2 linked regions of the Drosophila melanogaster genome follow. The gene in region 1 interacts genetically with each later gene. Each region holds a gene or a part of one and is shown on either strand. Other genes may lie near its edges.

Region 1 (7,143 bases):
CAGGCCAAGAAGGAACTGGTGGCCAAGCTGCATCGCATAGACGCCAAGTACGCCACACTGTCTGTGCAAAACTGTCGCATCTGGCTGAAGGGCGGACGTATTCCCATCAAAATTCTGTCCGACGATGAAACGCTCTACTGCGACATGCGCTCCAGCATCGCAGCGGAGGTGGGTTCCCCTGTCTCTGTGATGAGAAAAAAACTTAACTTGGATTTTATATCACACCATTTCAGTTCATTGTGCAAGAGTGCGAGGAGGAAGTGGACCCGCAGCCCAAGGACGATTCTCTGACTTTATTTGTAAGACGGTGGTGTCCGGCTAAACTGGAGTTTGGAAAGTTCCAAGAAATCACTTTGGACCGTAAGTTAAATCTGTATATTGCCCTGTAAGCAGTAAATCGAACTCGTATCTTCTGCAGAGGACAGCGAAATCAGACTTTCATTATCACAGATCAGCGACATCCCAATAGACAAACTGAGCTATATGAAGGTTCGTAAAATTGCGTTCTACTGTGTATATTGATCTAATTGGTCTTCTCTGCAGTTGAACAGCAACTTCCCCTGCACAAGCATATCAGCGTTAAGTGTTAACGAGTCCAGCAGTTGGTACTCCGTGCCCACCACCCTGGACAAATATCCGCTTAATAGCACACAGACAGGAAACATCTACCTGTACAAGTAAGCGTGGAGCAAGTGGCAGTTCAGTTCCTAGACTAACCAATGAATTCAACAGAGATAGGACGGTACCTGCGCGAGAGCTGACGCTGGAGGAGCGACGCCTGATGAACGCCAGGGAGAAGGCACGACTGGATCGGGTGGGCTGCGTGTCCACCACGCGGTATGCGCAGCGCCGGGAACGTGCCTTGAAGATTTACCTGGACTCTCCGGAGAAGTCGAGCAACGTGACCGCCTCCGCACCGATGGACGTGCATGTCAATAATTAGTCTGGCGAGTAGAAAACAGTCGCGGCGATCATAACAAAAAAAAAAAAAGTACACCAAACCATGTATGTAAGCGACGGCAGACCATTAAATCCCAGATCCTCTTTTGATCACCGGCCACATATCTTTGTCGTCTGCAAGTGCTGCTCGTGTTTTCTATACTTCATCCGCAGCAATTGCGTTTTTTGTTGTTCTTTATTTTGTTTGACGCAAGGGAAGAGGTCAGCGAGTTGGGCAAAGTCGCCGTATACGGCATCGAATTGGTCTGGTCTTGTTGGGATTGGATCTGGGATGGACAACTGGGGTGGCCAAGTGAGCACAGCACTAAGTGACGTTTAACATAACGAAGTTATTCTTGCAACTTTCGTAATACAAGAGTTCAAAGATGAGACTGTAAAATTTAAAATAACAAAAGGCAAGAAATCTAAATTACAAATTGTATAATGTGAATGTGAACATCAAAACTAAATTAAACGTATAAAATAAACACAACTCGCAAGTGCATTTATTAGAATGAGAAGCGTATCGAAATCGAATTAAAATTGGGCGCCAGCGGAAAGTAAATAAATGAAAAATCGTTTGGCATTTATCGGCTGTTTTATAGAAAATGTTAATTTTATTTAATACCTACTACGCAGCGTTAATAACGTTTCACTTGAATTATATTTTAAGATCATTTAGCGTTAAAATTGTTACAATTTGATGACAGTTCTTGCTTTGCTTTTTCGTTGCGATGATGTTGAACAGACCGATAAACGAAGGCAGCTTATAGTAAAGGAAATAAAGAGGTAAAGTTGGCGCGGGACCGACCGACCGCCCGCCTTGTTGATGGATGGAGGATTTCTGGGGAAATGTATCCTCAAATTGTTGCCGTCTTCTCTTCTGTCCTGTTCTGTTGTCAAAAGGGTCCTCTAATACGCAACGAATTCGATAGTAAAAATCTGTGGAGCGCAGCGTTGGGCAGCGCAATTGTTCACATTGTGTTTCCGTTGATGGCTTGGCGGTGCGGATCATCATCAGCGGGCTGGTCTATGCCTTGGTCTCCACGGCCGGCGCCGTTTCCACCTTTGTCGCCGCCCCAGCTGTTGCCTTCTTGCCCTTACCCTTGCCCTTCACAGGACCCAAAGGCTGCGCGAGCAGAGTCTGCAAAAAGTTGAGATTTCATTGAGTACGCATCGTGAATACAAGGAAATTGTTGCAGCTTACCTTGAGCTCCTCCTGCGCAACACTGTACTCGCTCACATAGTTCTCCGCCTCGAATGGGATGCCGGTGACCAAGTTGACGCCGTTAGGCATGAGCAGAACCGTGTGCTTAAACTGCGCCACAATCTCGGCTGTAATGCAAGATAAGGAAAAGGATTGTTTAACTTTGCTATTACTTCCGGCTAAAATTCGAACTTTATAAAGGTTGCTCAAACTAGTTTAGTCTCTAAATTAACTTTAATAAGTATAAGAAAACAGGTTAATAGATTGGATACGATTGTGACAGTGCCATGTTCAGACAGAGGCCACACTGAGGCAACTGCTGAAGACGACAATGCCTGGAATTTGTTCTGGCAAAATGTCTGGCCGCACTTAGCACCCGAAGGTGTACCAGGTCCGGAATTAAGTTCTGCCAACTCGCATAATAGGGAATAGGATTAATAATAATATGCATCACACTTACATGGCTTCTCGTACAGCACTTGGAAGGGCTCAATCATCTTGTGGCCGACGCACTCAACAACTCCCATGCGGGCCTTGGTCTCCTCCTCGAAGCTGCGGATGTTGAATGGCATGTTTCCGTACTTGGTTTTCACCTCTGCCAGCAGAGCACGGGACGCCTTCATCTTGAGCATGTAGTTCTCCTCAGACTTCTTGTAAATTGAGACCTTGGTGTCCTTTTCGCGTCCCTGCAACGAATACGAATAATGTTAGCAATAATGCTCTGGCTGCGATGATCCAGGATCCAGCTTAAATTTGGCGTTCTCAGATCTCATAATCTTGCAATCTTCGGACAACAGCCAGCCGGAACTTGGTGTCTGCACGTGCCGCATTTTAGTATAAAAAAACGCCGAGCAAACAAGTCACTCTCGCAACAAACACCGCATTCCAGCAAAGTCAGCCTCAAGCGCGTGTTTTTAATCATCGAACAAATTAGTGGAGATGTAGTGTCTATTGATGGATTACTAACCACTCCTTCGCCGGTACTGACGATAACATCGATGGCATACACCTCGTACGTTTCGAAGGTGCACTTCTCATGCTCCTTGCGCTGCGCCTCGCTGGGGTTCTGTATGATCGTCTTCTCGCCGTCAATTTTGAACTGCTTCAGCTCGTGACTGAGCATGCCCTCAATGGGCTTGCACTTATACGACTCGCTGATTTGTTGCACTGCATCGGTGAGGGAGTAGTTCTGTAAGGATACAGAATTGAAACATAAATATTAAGTATGAAATAAAATGGAAATAGTTCAAAGCAGAGATAAAGAAAACATTCCAATTCCCTTTGACTAATCTTAATCAAATATCATAGTATACTATAGATAACGCAAAATAACAATAACTGATCGGCATTATCATTGCGATTGTGGACAACTTTAAAGACCGAACATTTCAAGTATCTAAACTTGTTCAGTTCACGAAATCGACACTGTTGATCTCTGCAGACGTTGAGCTGTGCTGAGCCACGAGTTAAGGCAGCAGACAATCCGTTGCCTGCAGATTACAATTCCGACATATCTATAAACTGGAGATGTGGACAAATTTAAAGACCGAACACTTCTATGGAATGAACTTGTTCAGTTCACGAAATTGACACAGTTTCTATCCGCAGGTGTTGAGCTGATCTGTGTCAGAGTTTGAGCGCAGTCAATCCGTTGCCTGCAGAAGAAATAACCTTGTGGACAACTGACAAGAAGCCTCCAGTCCTGAATAATAGGCCAGGGCAATTACCAGCTGCCACAGCTGATCTTTGCAAGTGTTGAGATGTTCAGTCGCTGGAGAATCGCGGCAGACAATCCGTTTCTTGCAGGGATTAACGGAGGATTACCTAGAAGTAAGGGAGGACTCACATTGGCGCCGGACTTGAGCAGACGTAAGGCAGCCTGGACAGCCCAGTAGGCGGCGAGGATGACATCGGCCTGGCGACCACTGATCTTCTGATCCGCAGCAGCGCCTACCACAATTGTGTGAGCGGCCACGGCAATGAAACCATCAATGTGGGCACCCAGATCGCTGTAGAAAAGAAATGTTACGTATTTAGTGGCGGTATATGTGGAATAGGAGGTTCAACTTACATTTTGACCACATCACCGGCCTTTAACGTGTAGTCAGCATCGTTTTTGGCTGGCGAGAAGTGGCAGACACAGTTGTTGACGGACAGACAGGTGGGAAAGGCAATGCCCTTCTTCAGGTCTTTCTCCTTTTTGTATACCTGTTTGTGAAAGATCGATAAAAGCATTAGATTGCTTGTTCGTTGTACTATATATCAATGATAGTGCGCGGTGTGTCCTCAGATCTCATAATCTGTAAATCCTCGGGACCTTTTGGAGAGCACACAAGCCGGGCACGTGGAGCATTGGAGTCCCCGCGTGCGCCTGGCGACCACGAGGTGATCCCCAGCCCGCACAGCACATGGCTCGCCATCGGGAAACCCTCAAAGGTGTAAGTCTTAATCATTGGACATGAAATTGGCGCGAATGACCGCCAGGTGGCCACCACTTACTTTGCCGGTCTCCTCGGTGAGCTGATTGTCGCCCTGGGTGCAGATCTCCCGGACGGAGGCATCAACCACGCAGAGTCCAATTACCGCCTTGAGGGTTTCTAAAATTAAACGAGCAGACAGAGTCCAGAAATAGGCAGATTAACCAACGCGTGGCGCACAAGGGAAAGCGGCATTCGGTGCATTGTGTAAGCGCCACGTAGCAGCGACTCCAGGAATCGGCCAGCGTTCGCTGTTTCCGGCCAAGGAATACTCACTGTTGACGATTTCGCCGGCCAACTTATACTTGGTCACCACCAAATCCTCGGCGATGGTCTTCTCGGGCTCCTTTTCCACATCTGCCATTGTACTTGACTCTAATAATTTTAAAATGGCGACTTAATGAAAATGCGACCGACTGAAACACCACGAGGTAATGAACGTGTGGCCAGGCGCAGCGCAGGTATCGAAAGTTCCAGTGGCGTGTATGGTGGGACCGCTCATTCGCCTTGACAACCCTGGCAAATGGGCGGTAAGCTTAAGATGAGCGTGAAAGCGTAGATTGCTAGTCGTAAACACTGAATGAATTTTAAATAACACTTTGAGCTATATCAAATGAGAATATTTCATAGTTTTACATATTGTAATCCACTAATATTTCAATAAAAGTTTAAATATTAAGTTTCGGTTTTTTTCTATTACACATAAATGGTCCCTCTAAAAATAGGAAGTCAAAGAGCTCGAAATATCGATACCATCACAGTGTGACCGCTTGTGGAATACCGCATTCGGTATTTTTCTTAGCACGAATTTGGACTAAATGCATATTACAAGTCATCTTTAACAAAAAAAATTTGCATTGAACGTTAATAATAACATTTACTTGCTTAAATCCAATTCGGCTGCCGAAACAAAAGCTCAATTAATAGAAACCTAATCCTATCACCATGTCCGTGCGCGTGATCAACGACGAGTCCCACTTCCAGGCGGAGTTGGCCCAAGCGGGCATTCAATTGGTTGTGGTGGACTTCACAGCTTCGTGGTGTGGTCCCTGCAAGCGGATTGCGCCCATCTTCGAGACGTTTCCAACAAAGTACCCAAAGGCCATCTTCCTGAAAGTGGATGTGGACAAGTGCCAGGACACGGCTGCTGGACAGGGCGTTTCGGCCATGCCAACATTCATCTTCTACAGGAACAGGACCAAGATCGATCGCGTCCAGGGTGCGGACGTCAATGGGCTCGAGGCCAAGATCCAGGAGCACATCGGTACATCCGGTGGCGAGGAGGGGGGCGAGGATTACGGGCAGGGATTGGTAATATAGTGCAGTATTTGGAAATGTTCCAAAAATAATCCCTAATCCTTCTTACAGATGGAACTGAATACATTTATTTCGAAGCAGGAGTGCGAGTGCCTCAACGAAGCTGATGACCACAACTTAAAGCACGCCCTGGCCTCCGCCGGTGGCTACCTGCAGTCCGATTGCGATGAGCAGCTCATCCTGTCCATCACCTTTAATCAGGCTGTGAAGATCCACTCTTTGAAGTTCAAGGCACCTTCGCACCTGGGTCCCAAGGATGTGAAGCTGTTCATTAACCAGCCCCGCACGATTGACTTTGACATGGCCGAGTCCATGAACAGTGTGCAGGATCTAAGGTAGCTATTGCCTTCTCTATGGCTGCTTAGCTCTTCTCACTGTTCAATCCATTTTGCAGCCTGGCTCAGAAGGAGCTGGAGAGTGGAGTGCCCGTGAATCTGCGCTACGTCAAGTTCCAGAATGTGCAAAACATCCAAATCTTCGTGAAGAACAATCAGTCAGGTGGCGATGTGACGCAGATTGATTATATCGGCTTCATCGGTTCCCCCATCATGACCACCAAGATGAACGACTTCAAGCGAGTGGCTGGCAAGAAGGGCGAGAGCCACTAAGGTTCCATTGAAATTTTCAGCGTTTTTCCCCAATGACGTCCCAGCATTTCTTTTCAACTTTGGACTTACAACTAAACAATATACAACAAATGCATAAAAAATCATACAAAATAAGGATCAACAAGATAATCTAAATATCCATCGGGTTAAAGGCTGCTCTGGTAAGAGTCCAGTTCCTTGGTAAGCATTTTCCACGCACGCTCCGCCTGTTTCTGGGTGAATTCGTGATCCCATTGCGAACTGAATATCACATGCGACTTGGCCACGATCTCAGAATTGGGCACCTGACTGGCCAGTCGCTTTTGGGCCTCCACTTCGCTCAACTTGTTGCGCTCAATAATCCGCCGCACAGCCTCATCCGGTGGCACAATCATGGACCACACCTCATGGCAATTGGTCTCCCAGCCCGCTCGCAGCAGCACCGCTGCCTCCAGGACCACCACACGCGGCACGTCCGCCTGGGAACGCAGTGCATCCAGCCGCCTGTTAACCTCCGCAATAAGTTCCGGCCAGACAATGCCGTTGAGTGCTTGCAACTGCTTGGGATCGGCAAACACCAAGGGTCCCAGCTTGGACCGATCGATGCGACCATCGT
Region 2 (9,981 bases), on another chromosome or scaffold:
AAGTTCCCAACATTCTCTGTTAAACTTTCTGCCGAGGCTTTAGTTTTTTAAGCATTACAAATATCGTCGACTTTATTTTAAAATTTAAAACCAAAATTTTCGCGGCTTAGTGTGACTGCATTTGGTTATGAATCGATACACTTCTTCATCGCCCTTCGATAAGTTCGCCAAGGTCTATCGTCAGTGTCGCATCCGCAGGCAAACAGCTGTTTCTCCCAATTGGACCACCTGATATCGGTTAAATAACAAAGTATAAACAAAACAAAAATATCTGTTTCCCTTAATTCAATATTTTGATTAGCTTTGAATAGCGTTTAGTGCCATTTCTCATAAATATAGAATAGAAGCAGCCGCGGCTCGCCTTTGTACGAATTCTCAGATTTCCGTGAGGTAAATAATCATATATGTAACATACAAATACATAAGAATTACTATAACCCTTTCAGCCAAGTTTGGAATTAGACACCCAAACTGCAATTGGATAACCGGCGACCATTGTGGTGGATACTATGATTCTGCTTTTTAAAAACAACTTGGACGTGTGGCACTTTAAAGGCCTATACGCCTCTCAGCCTGTCAACAAATATTAAAAAATCTGGCAAAATTCTAAAAATAACTTGATTTACTTTCGGAACTCCAGGAAACTAGGCCCGCTTGCCATGCAATGGTAAGTTGAACAGCTCCAGCGGATTTGAATGTGCAAACTAAACCTTCTCTTGTTCCCCGCAGTTTTAAACTGGCCAGCAGGCGCAGCTTATACAATGCACGGGTTCTACAGGCGGATAACATCGGCGACAAGCAACGCAGTCCAGATCTGGAGGCGGCGCGCCAAAATACCCAGATAGTGGTCGTGGGCGCAGGACTCGCCGGTCTCTCGGCGGCCCAGCACCTCTTGTCGCACGGCTTTCGGCGCACTGTGATCCTGGAGGCCACAGATCGTTATGGCGGCAGGATTAACACCCAGCGCTTTGGTGACACCTACTGTGAACTAGGCGCCAAGTGGGTAAAGATCGATGGATCGCAGGATTCGATGTATGAACTGCTACGCAACACGGAAGGCTTGGGGAAGCAGATAAAGCAGCCGGATCGGGCCACCTATCTTCAGGATGGAAGCCGCATCAATCCAGCCATGGTCGAGCTTATCGACACGCTATTTCGGCAGCTTTGCCGAGGCTTCAAGGTCTCCGAACGAGTTAAAACGGGTGGTGACCTGCACTCGCTGGACAATGTCATGAACTACTTTAGAACAGAAAGCGATCGCATCATTGGCGTCTCCTTCCAGCATCCTAAGGATCAACTGGCGGCACGCGAGATCTTCCAATCGCTGTTCAAGGAGTTCGGCAGCATATTGGGATGCTGCCTGGAGTACGTGAACATCGAACACATAACCAAGTGTCCAGTGCAGCAGGAACAGCGCCCGCTGTATGTGCCCACTGGTCTAGATAATGTAGTGGACGATCTCATTCAGAACATGGACAAAGCGCAGCTGCAGACCGGAAAGCCTGTGGGCCAGATACAGTGGACACCAGCGCCGATGAAAAGTGTGGGTTGCCTGGATGGCAGTCTTTACAACGCCGATCACATAATATGCACCCTGCCGCTGGGCGTGCTCAAAAGCTTTGCGGGCGTTCTGTTTCGACCCACGCTGCCGCTGGACAAGATGCTGGCTATACGCAACCTCGGCTTTGGCAATCCCCTCAAGATATATCTCTCCTACAAGAAGCCCATTGGGCGTTGGCTAAAGGGAAGCCTGCGGCCACTGGGAACGCTTCTGAATCCTTCCGTGGAGCAGCAACCCGAACGCAACTGGACGCAGCAGGTCGTGGAGATCAGCCAGGTGCCCAGCAGTCAGCATGTGCTGGAGGTGCATGTGGGTGGCGGATACTACGAGGAGATCGAGAAGCTGCCCGATGAGGAGCTGCTGGAGCAGATAACTGGTCTGCTAAGGCGCTGCGTGAGCAGTCACCTGGTGCCGTACCCACAGGAACTGCTGCGTTCCAACTGGAGTACGTCGGCCTGCTACCTCGGCGGTCGTCCTTACTTCTCCACCAACAGCAGTGCCCGGGATGTCCAGCGACTGGCCGCTCCGCTGGGCGAGAAGTCGCCCGGTCTGCTCTTTGCTGGGGATGCAACCTCGTTGAGAGGCTTTGGAACCATTGATGCCGCCAGGTCCAGTGGCATCCGAGAAGCCCAACGCATTATTGACTACTATCTGAAAAGCGTGCACTGCGGTTAAGTGCAATGGGAAATCCGAATGGGCTGCTAAATTGTACAGTGTATATCAACACGAAAACTAGTCAAAATTTATAGTTACAATTCGTTTGTATTTTTAAGCAGAATACATTTGTTTTAATTAGGCGCATAACGTTAACAATAAAAATCATGAACAACATCAATGATACAATGATAGGATACTATAAATATAATGTAGCGATGGACGAACCATCTTTTGTTGCGATGTAAATTCCCTAAACATGTCGCAAGTGGAAAGTGTATGGTCTGTTCCGGGTTCCAAGTCACAATGCATTATATATCATACTGGTCCAATTTAAGTTTACTATATTAATTTATATACTAAACACGGAACAGACCTGCACAACCACTTTACTGCTCCTGTTCCATCTCGTCGGCAGCGGCGCTGACCTCCTTCCACGAGTACTCCATGTCCTCGGACTGGGTGAATCGCGAGCAAATGGCCATGCGCAGGAAGTAGACATCCTTGATCTTGGCGGGAACCAAGTGGATGTGGCCGCGTCCATTGATTCGCTTGAGAAGAGCTTCGTTCCGCTCGTTGCTGCCCTTCAGCCGGAAGCAGACCAATCCCATATTGATCTCGGCGGCCAGTTCAAATCTGGAGTCCGCCACGCAGAGATCCCCGAACTGCTTGGCAAAGTTGCAGTGTCTGCGGATGTGGGCCTGGAGATTCTCGACACCGTACAGCCGGAGGACGAACCAGAGCTTCAGTGCCCTGAATCGCCGTCCAAGTGGGATTTGCCAGTGACGATAGTCCGGAGCTGATCCCTGCATGTCGTGCTTCAGGTAAAGAGGGTCCACATTGAACGCGTTGACCACCCAACTGGGATCCTTCAGCCACATGGCCGAGCAGTCAAAGTTCACCAGCATCCATTTGTGTGGATTGAAATTGAAAGAGTCTGCTGATTCGATGCCCTTCATCAGGTGGCGATACTCGGGGCAAATGAAAGCGGATCCGGCATAGGCAGCGTCCACATGGATCCACAAATTGTGCTTGTTTCCCACCGGTCCACACTCATCCAAGTAGTCGAAGGCGCAGGAGTTGGTGGTGCCCAGGGTGACCACCGCGTAGAAGGGAATCAAACCCTCGGCCACATCCTGTTCGATGGCCTTTTCCAGGGCAGCACCACGCATTCTGTGATTCTCGGACTGCACGGAACGGAGCTTTACTCCGCCCAGAAGACCAGCCCGCTCCACGGATGAGTGAGCCTGGTCCGAGCAGTAGCCCACCAACTTGCCCAAGATGGTGTGCTCATCCCACTCCGGATGGAGCTCCTTCACCTCCTTCAACTTCTTGGCCTTGGCTCCCAGCAGAGCCACCAGTGTGGACTCACTGGCCGTGCCCTGGATGACACCGCCACCCTTGCCGCCCGAACAGGCCAGGAACTCTGCCGGCAGCTCCAGCATCTTGCCCAGCCAATCCATCATGACCACCTCGAGTTCCGTGCACGCGGGACTGGCGATCCACGTGAATCCGATGCAGGCAATCGCTCCACTCAGCATGTCCGCAACGATCGCTGGATACGAGTTGGCCGTGGGGAAGTAGGCATGAAACTTGGGACTGTGCCAGTGTGTCACGCCCGGCATGATGACTCGCTCGATGTCCTGCATCACATCCTGCCACTTCTCCGGCTTCTCGGGCGCAGCATCCGGAATCAATGGCTTCAGGTAGCCAGGCTTCACTTCCGGCAGAACGCGCCTGTAATTGCGAAAATTGCGTTAGCTTCTGATTGCATTTTGGCGCCCATTCAGTAAAAGCTCCTTGCTAATTGGCTGCGAAACTCAGTTAGCCAACAAAGGCATCAGGAATCATTGGGGTTGAAGGACACCCATCCAACCACCCCCAACTTGTTGCCACTGCCATGAAAATCAATACGAATATGTAGCAAATTGCTATGGGAACAGAATATAGATAGAGAGGCAATGCTGATAATGATGGTGGGATTTTCTATCCTTTCAATTAAAAGGAAGTACTACTAAGAGGTGAAAAAAGAAAATAAAAAGATAATTTCTCTATATATATGTATCTTCAATTAACAAAGATTCGTTTAAAAAGTTATCTAACTAAGAAAATAGTTTTGAAACTTCAATGTCGAAGGAACTTTAATAAAGCAAAATGAATTATTATATTACGCTCTACTTAAGCTTGATTTTCAATTAACCATTAATTTCAGCGACTGTCGATGGGCAAACAAACTCAGCAGCTGTAGTAAGAAAATTGTTTACTTAGCTGACTTTGATTTTCAAGGTAATGGAAACGAAGCCGTTAGAAGAATTGCCCAAGAATAGTGAAATACCCGAATTGCTTTTGGCCAAGGCGTTAGCAGTGCAATTATATCTATACTCGTATACATGAAAAACGACCTTGACACGCCAACTCAACAAAGCCATTTAATTAATTAGTTTTCGGCCCAAGAGCAGCGAAAGTACTTGGCCCTCGAGCTAATGGGAAGGTCGCCTCAACCCCCTAAACAAAATGATATATATATATAGATATATATAGCAATGGAAATGTCCGATCGGTGCGACTTTCCCGTGACTAATCTCAAAACGTGTGCGAAATGTCATTCACTTGCCCGGGGATTCGAATCGAGCAGAACGAACTTTCGATTCGAACGTAAAATGCTGAGGTCAAGCGACTGATTCTGATACCATATAAATGAAATTCATACGCTAAATTAAGTTTAATTCAAGCTAATTGAGTAGGGAGTCTTAATCTGGCTCACCTTTCGCGTATATTCTCCAGATATTCGGCTATAAAGTCGACCATTGTCTTGGCAAAATCCTTGAACTCCGGCGCCTCCATGTCGATCTTGATGTGGATGCAAAAGTATTTGGTTATCAGACGTGCATAATTGTTGGCTCTATACCTAAACCCAATAGACATACCGAAACCTTGGGATCCAGCTTATCCGGCGAAATGTTAGCTTTACCATTACCATCAGTTTGTTTTGTTGGAATTGTGTTACTAATGGGTATGTGGCTCATTTCAGAGATTTACTTTTCGTTTGACTTTTGCAATGATATGAACTCGAATGGTTAGAGCTAATATGAAAGAATGTGCGATTATTGAAAGTGTTATTAATAGAAGTGCGTTTTTGAAGATAGTGCTAATCAGTGCAGCAGCTCAAACAAAAAATGCTATCGCTGCAAACACGACAAATGAACGACATTGAATACTAATTACTTGATAGGCAAAACGATGATGATAATAGTTATAATAATAAGGTATTAAGGTATTAATAGTTTAAAGCGTTTTCCCATCGAGTGCGCTGCTTAAGTATAGGCTGTGAATTAGTATGGTAATTAGAATGTTTAATGCATTCTTGCATTAATCAAGACTGCTTTATTTTTTTTTTTTTTCTAAATTCCAATTTTAACAACGTAAACAAGTTGGCATTGAGACGACGACTTGTTGCCAGCTAAAATCTTATTTTAATAGATACACAAAAGCATGCAGATACCGAAAGCCGAGAAAAGCTTAAGCACTATAGAATTCGGGGCCCGAACTATCAAATTGAACCGAAGCAAGGCTATAGTATATGCCCAGTTTTAGATACACATTACGTATACGCAGCGTTAGCCCCGAAATGAATCTTTCGCATGCACATGCACTCATTATGTTGGCCAAGCACTTCAGGCAGCTGAGGCTGTTGAGGAGCCACACTTTCGTCTCTCACCGTTGCACTTTAGTTAACTGCTTTTAATTGTTTGCACTTGTTGCCGAGCTTTACTTCCGTTCCGAACTAAATCTTTGCTCCAAGTTCAGTTTGCCCTCCTGGTTTAGAACAGCTAATATTTATTTGCTGATATTTCGATGCTGATATTTCGGTGCTGATTGCTGTGCGCTTGGCGTTCTCCTCTTAACTGAGCGCTGCCCGCTCTTGGCCATGGCTTTTAAAGCCCGTCCAGCAGCGCTGCCAATTCCGCAGGACCGGTTCAATCGCAGTCCGCAGCCGCTGAACTTCGAATCGCAGCCGCTGTCGTAAAAACAAATTCAGCTCTCGTTTGATTTGTGCACGTTTTTTGACACTTTTTTGGAACATGCATTAATTGGGCGCTGAATCAGTAACTGGATATCAAAGGCTTTATTTTCCATGGATTTATTTAGAATTTAAAAAAATATATATATATACATACATGCAAGCTATTACATTTTATTTGCCAGCTCTGTGAACTTAATTTGATTATTTTTGAAATTAGTTTGAGAACCTAGTGATATTTAAAACAGCAAGCAAAACATTTTGAATTCTACTCACGTGCTTCCCAACTCGAATTTGTGGAAAGAGAGCGATCTCGTCAGGAATCCCCCAATTATGAGTCACTCGAAACAGGGTTTTTCTTGGACTCCCCGAAGAAAAAATCACGCAAAAAAATGTAAACAAAGTTATATTCGTAGGAAAGACAAGAAATTGATTAAGCCGTGGAATGGCACGCTTTACGCGCATCTTGGAAACCGGTTATTAGAGCACCACATATGACGTGCTTTTTGAACCGCTCATGGAATTGTGACGTCAAATAATCCAATGCTCTCACTCACTTTCGCATTGTGCTAGGGGAAGTGGGCTAGGTTGAGCCTTTTGAGCGGGCAGTTCCGCATACACTGAGAAAAATTCAAAATTACTATAGAAAGCTAACGACTTTTGGATGCCAGTTACTTGGCCGGAATTTCAAAATTCAGTTGAAATATCAATAGAAATTGGCAAGAAACAATAAATATGTGGCTTAAATGTTTATGCCAAATATATCGAGAGATATAATACAAAAATTCAAAATATTTTTCAAAACTGTTTTCGTGACCGTTTTTTTTTTTTAAAGTTCCCAAAATCTCGAAGTTTATACGGACAGACAAACATGGGTATATCGGCTCGGCTAATGATATTGGAATACGACAGGAAAATCATTATCTTCCTTTAATTACTATTTAAAAGAATCAAGTAAACACTTTTAGCCTACGACAAAAGAAAATAATTTCTTTCAGTGTAGGGCTGCTGAGAATCCTGCGGGTGGTCCAACTGTTGCTGAGTGCGAGCAAAGTGCGTGTGCCTGACATTTCAACGAAGCCACTTTGGCAAATCACTTGGCTGAATCAACAGATTTATACGCCATGCCAACGGCTCTGCTTTCGATTTTAATGCGCTGGGTGCTCCACCCACACGCCAGCCAACAGCCACCAGCCACCAGTCGCCCAACTACCCACCCACATTATGCTGCTTTACGGGTGGCTGGAGTTCGGGTCGATTGAGGCGAAGAATACTACAATTTGATTTATGACCATCTTGAGTTGCGAATGAATGCGAAAGTATTCTCCGCTTATAGGGGTCGAATGGCGCCTTTGAGAGGGGGATTGCATAAACAGGCATCATATGGGGTAAACAAGGGCCGAGATAAGCGAGCGGGTGTTTGGTGTACACATCACATCGCTGAGCTTCAATAGGTCACGTATTTTGTCTAAATCTATATGATATGGGCAAGTGATTAGATTCGTTTTAGGATCGATCTGTAATTAATTGGGAAAGTAAAAGTAAAGTAAAAAGAAAGTAAAAGTTCATAAATTAAATAACATTTCCTGCATAACCATAACCACACTCAATTTAAAAGCCCACTCATGTAGGGATTATCATTTATTGTTTGTTCACATAATGAAATTTTCTTACGGTCTGTGTTTCTTTCAATTACTGGAGTTGTTTTAAGCCCGGTGCCGATCTTAAGGACCAATTCAGCAGGACGCGCACACGAACGACTCAAACGGAAACAACAAAAGTTGAGCCGCATTCGGAGCGCACACTGCGACCGGATTTCGAACCCGATCGGGAAGATAATGGAAAAACCGATTACATGAGACAAATTTTGGTTGTTTCGCTTAGTATTCTCCAGTCAGTCGGGCGCGAACGCTTTAGAGTAGTGCATATTTCAGCAGAAACAAAATCGAAAAGTACTTAGTAAATGCTATAGGTAGTTACAACTTAACGGAACTAGATGCACCCAGCTACTGCGCGATGGTCGATGGCAGATTGAGCAGCGTGCTCTGTCCGCTGGGCAAGTAGGCGACACCACGGGACCGGGATAGCTGGTAGGCGATATCCTCGGCGGCCTCAATACGTCGCAGCTCCACCAGACCGTCTCCGGCCTCGCCGAATGACTTGGCCAACAGGCCAGCGGCTTCGGCATCACCCTCCGCCGAAATGATGGACGCCAGCTTCTGTTGCTCGGCCTTCTCCACGACAAAACGCGCCTTCTCCGCCTCCTGCTGGGCCACCTGCTTCATCTCGACGGCCAGCGTGAACTCCCGACCGAAGGTCAAGTGCGTGAGCGAGATGTCATCCAGAATAAAGCCGAACTGCTTGGCACGTACAGTCAGTTCCTGGGAAACGCGCTGCGACACCATCTGCAAAGAGGTAATCACGTTAAGTACGGGCATGAAAGTATTATATTTCCGACTGCATAAGTTGAATAATAATCCAATTCTTAAGCTTCAATTCTCAAAAGAGCAATAAGCCTAGACTTAAGCGCCGAGATCGCGTTCTTGCTTACACAATCAAATTTAAATCGAAAATAAAATACGCGTGAAATACGATGAGATCTGATGACCTGATACTAAGTAAACATAAGCGCCTCTGGTGAAACACAAGGCCCATCAAAAAAGCTTTATCCTAAAGAAACTGAGGGCTCTCCTGATGTTTTTACTCACCTCACGCTGGGTGATCAGCTCGCCGGCGTCGAACTGGGCGACCACAGCCTTCAGCACCTCAGGCGCGATGGAGGGCAGGACACGCTCGTCGTAGTCCTGGCCGAGAATGGTGTAGATCTTGGGCAGCTGGTCTGGAATGGGGCGGTACAGGATTCGGAGCGTGATGTTGACATTCTGCAGATCCTTGCTGCCCGTTATCACAGGAACGTTGCGGGGCTGGGACCGGATGTCGAAGATGATGGGCCGCTGCACCCATGGGATGAAGAAGTGGGTACCCTCGCCGACCACGTTCTCCTTGATGCCGGTGAAGCGATCGAAGATGACCGCCCGGTGGCCGCCTTCCACATTATATAATGCCGAATTGACAACGCCACCCAAAACGGCCACTCCGAGGCCCATTTGGCCAATGCGATTAAAGAACTGAGCAGCCATTATCCTTTGAATAAAACAAACGTAATGTATTTAGTTACTGTTCTATAAACTATATATGTAAATGAAAGCCGACTGGACTTGGAAATTTCATCAGTTTTTAGGTTAGAACGTCATGGTTTAATGACAATGTGCTGTTTGCGTGTTTTTATCCCCTGTTCTTCCTGGTCTTCAAACGCAGTTAGCTCGGCTCGCTCATAGACTCACTTGTTAAAGGTTTTTGGTTGCACTTAAATTAAATTATTGTGCAATTTTGCTCTTTGAAATGCAAAACACGAAATACAACCACACGGCCTGTTATCGATAATACAACTGTCGGTGGGGCCGCCATATATCGAAACGTACTAATAAGAATCGTATTCGATTGTTTCCTAAGATTATCGATTATCGAAATTTAAAAAGAATAATAATAAACAAAGCCAGTTTACAATATCAAACTACAAATGGTGAAATTTACAATAAAAGTTTATTATTAATTGAAAACTAAAAACCCCCTCAAAATTATTGCGCCATTTCGGCTCGCCCGGCGACTTTTGGCATCTTCTTGTTCGTCGAATCCTCCAGCTCCTTGGCCTTGTAGTAGTGCGGAGCCACCTCCAGCAACCACT

What was found.
Region 2: of Txl (region 1) and Ddc, changing one suppresses a phenotype caused by changing the other (phenotypic suppression), as found in Drosophila melanogaster (one study listed by BioGRID).

The regions. Positions count from the first base shown.
Region 1 is NT_037436.4:5,760,442-5,767,584, forward strand, and holds Txl (Thioredoxin-like), read left to right. Parts: upstream 1-5,404; 5' UTR 5,405-5,568; coding exon 5,569-5,934; intron 5,935-5,991; coding exon 5,992-6,275; intron 6,276-6,334; coding exon 6,335-6,548; 3' UTR 6,549-6,643; downstream 6,644-7,143. Other genes in the region: Usp47 (ubiquitin specific protease 47), read left to right, coding at 1-168, 234-360, 419-489, 544-677, 733-943; CG10576 (uncharacterized protein), read right to left, coding at 1,970-2,083, 2,147-2,274, 2,607-2,832, 3,114-3,335, 3,993-4,155, 4,218-4,354, 4,646-4,743, 4,900-4,987; Ppat-Dpck (bifunctional phosphopantetheine adenylyltransferase - Dephospho-CoA kinase), read right to left, coding at 6,695-7,143.
Region 2 is NT_033779.5:19,114,177-19,124,157, forward strand, and holds Ddc (dopa decarboxylase), read right to left. Parts: upstream 6,131-9,981; 5' UTR 5,934-6,130; exon of another isoform or gene 5,299-5,933; 5' UTR 5,242-5,298; coding exon 5,143-5,241; exon of another isoform or gene 5,066-5,142; coding exon 4,980-5,065; intron 3,953-4,979; coding exon 2,605-3,952; 3' UTR 2,307-2,604; downstream 1-2,306. Other genes in the region: CG10561 (uncharacterized protein), read left to right, coding at 660-667, 730-2,236; Phb1 (prohibitin 1), read right to left, coding at 8,243-8,641, 8,945-9,376; l(2)37Cb (lethal (2) 37Cb), read right to left, coding at 9,875-9,981.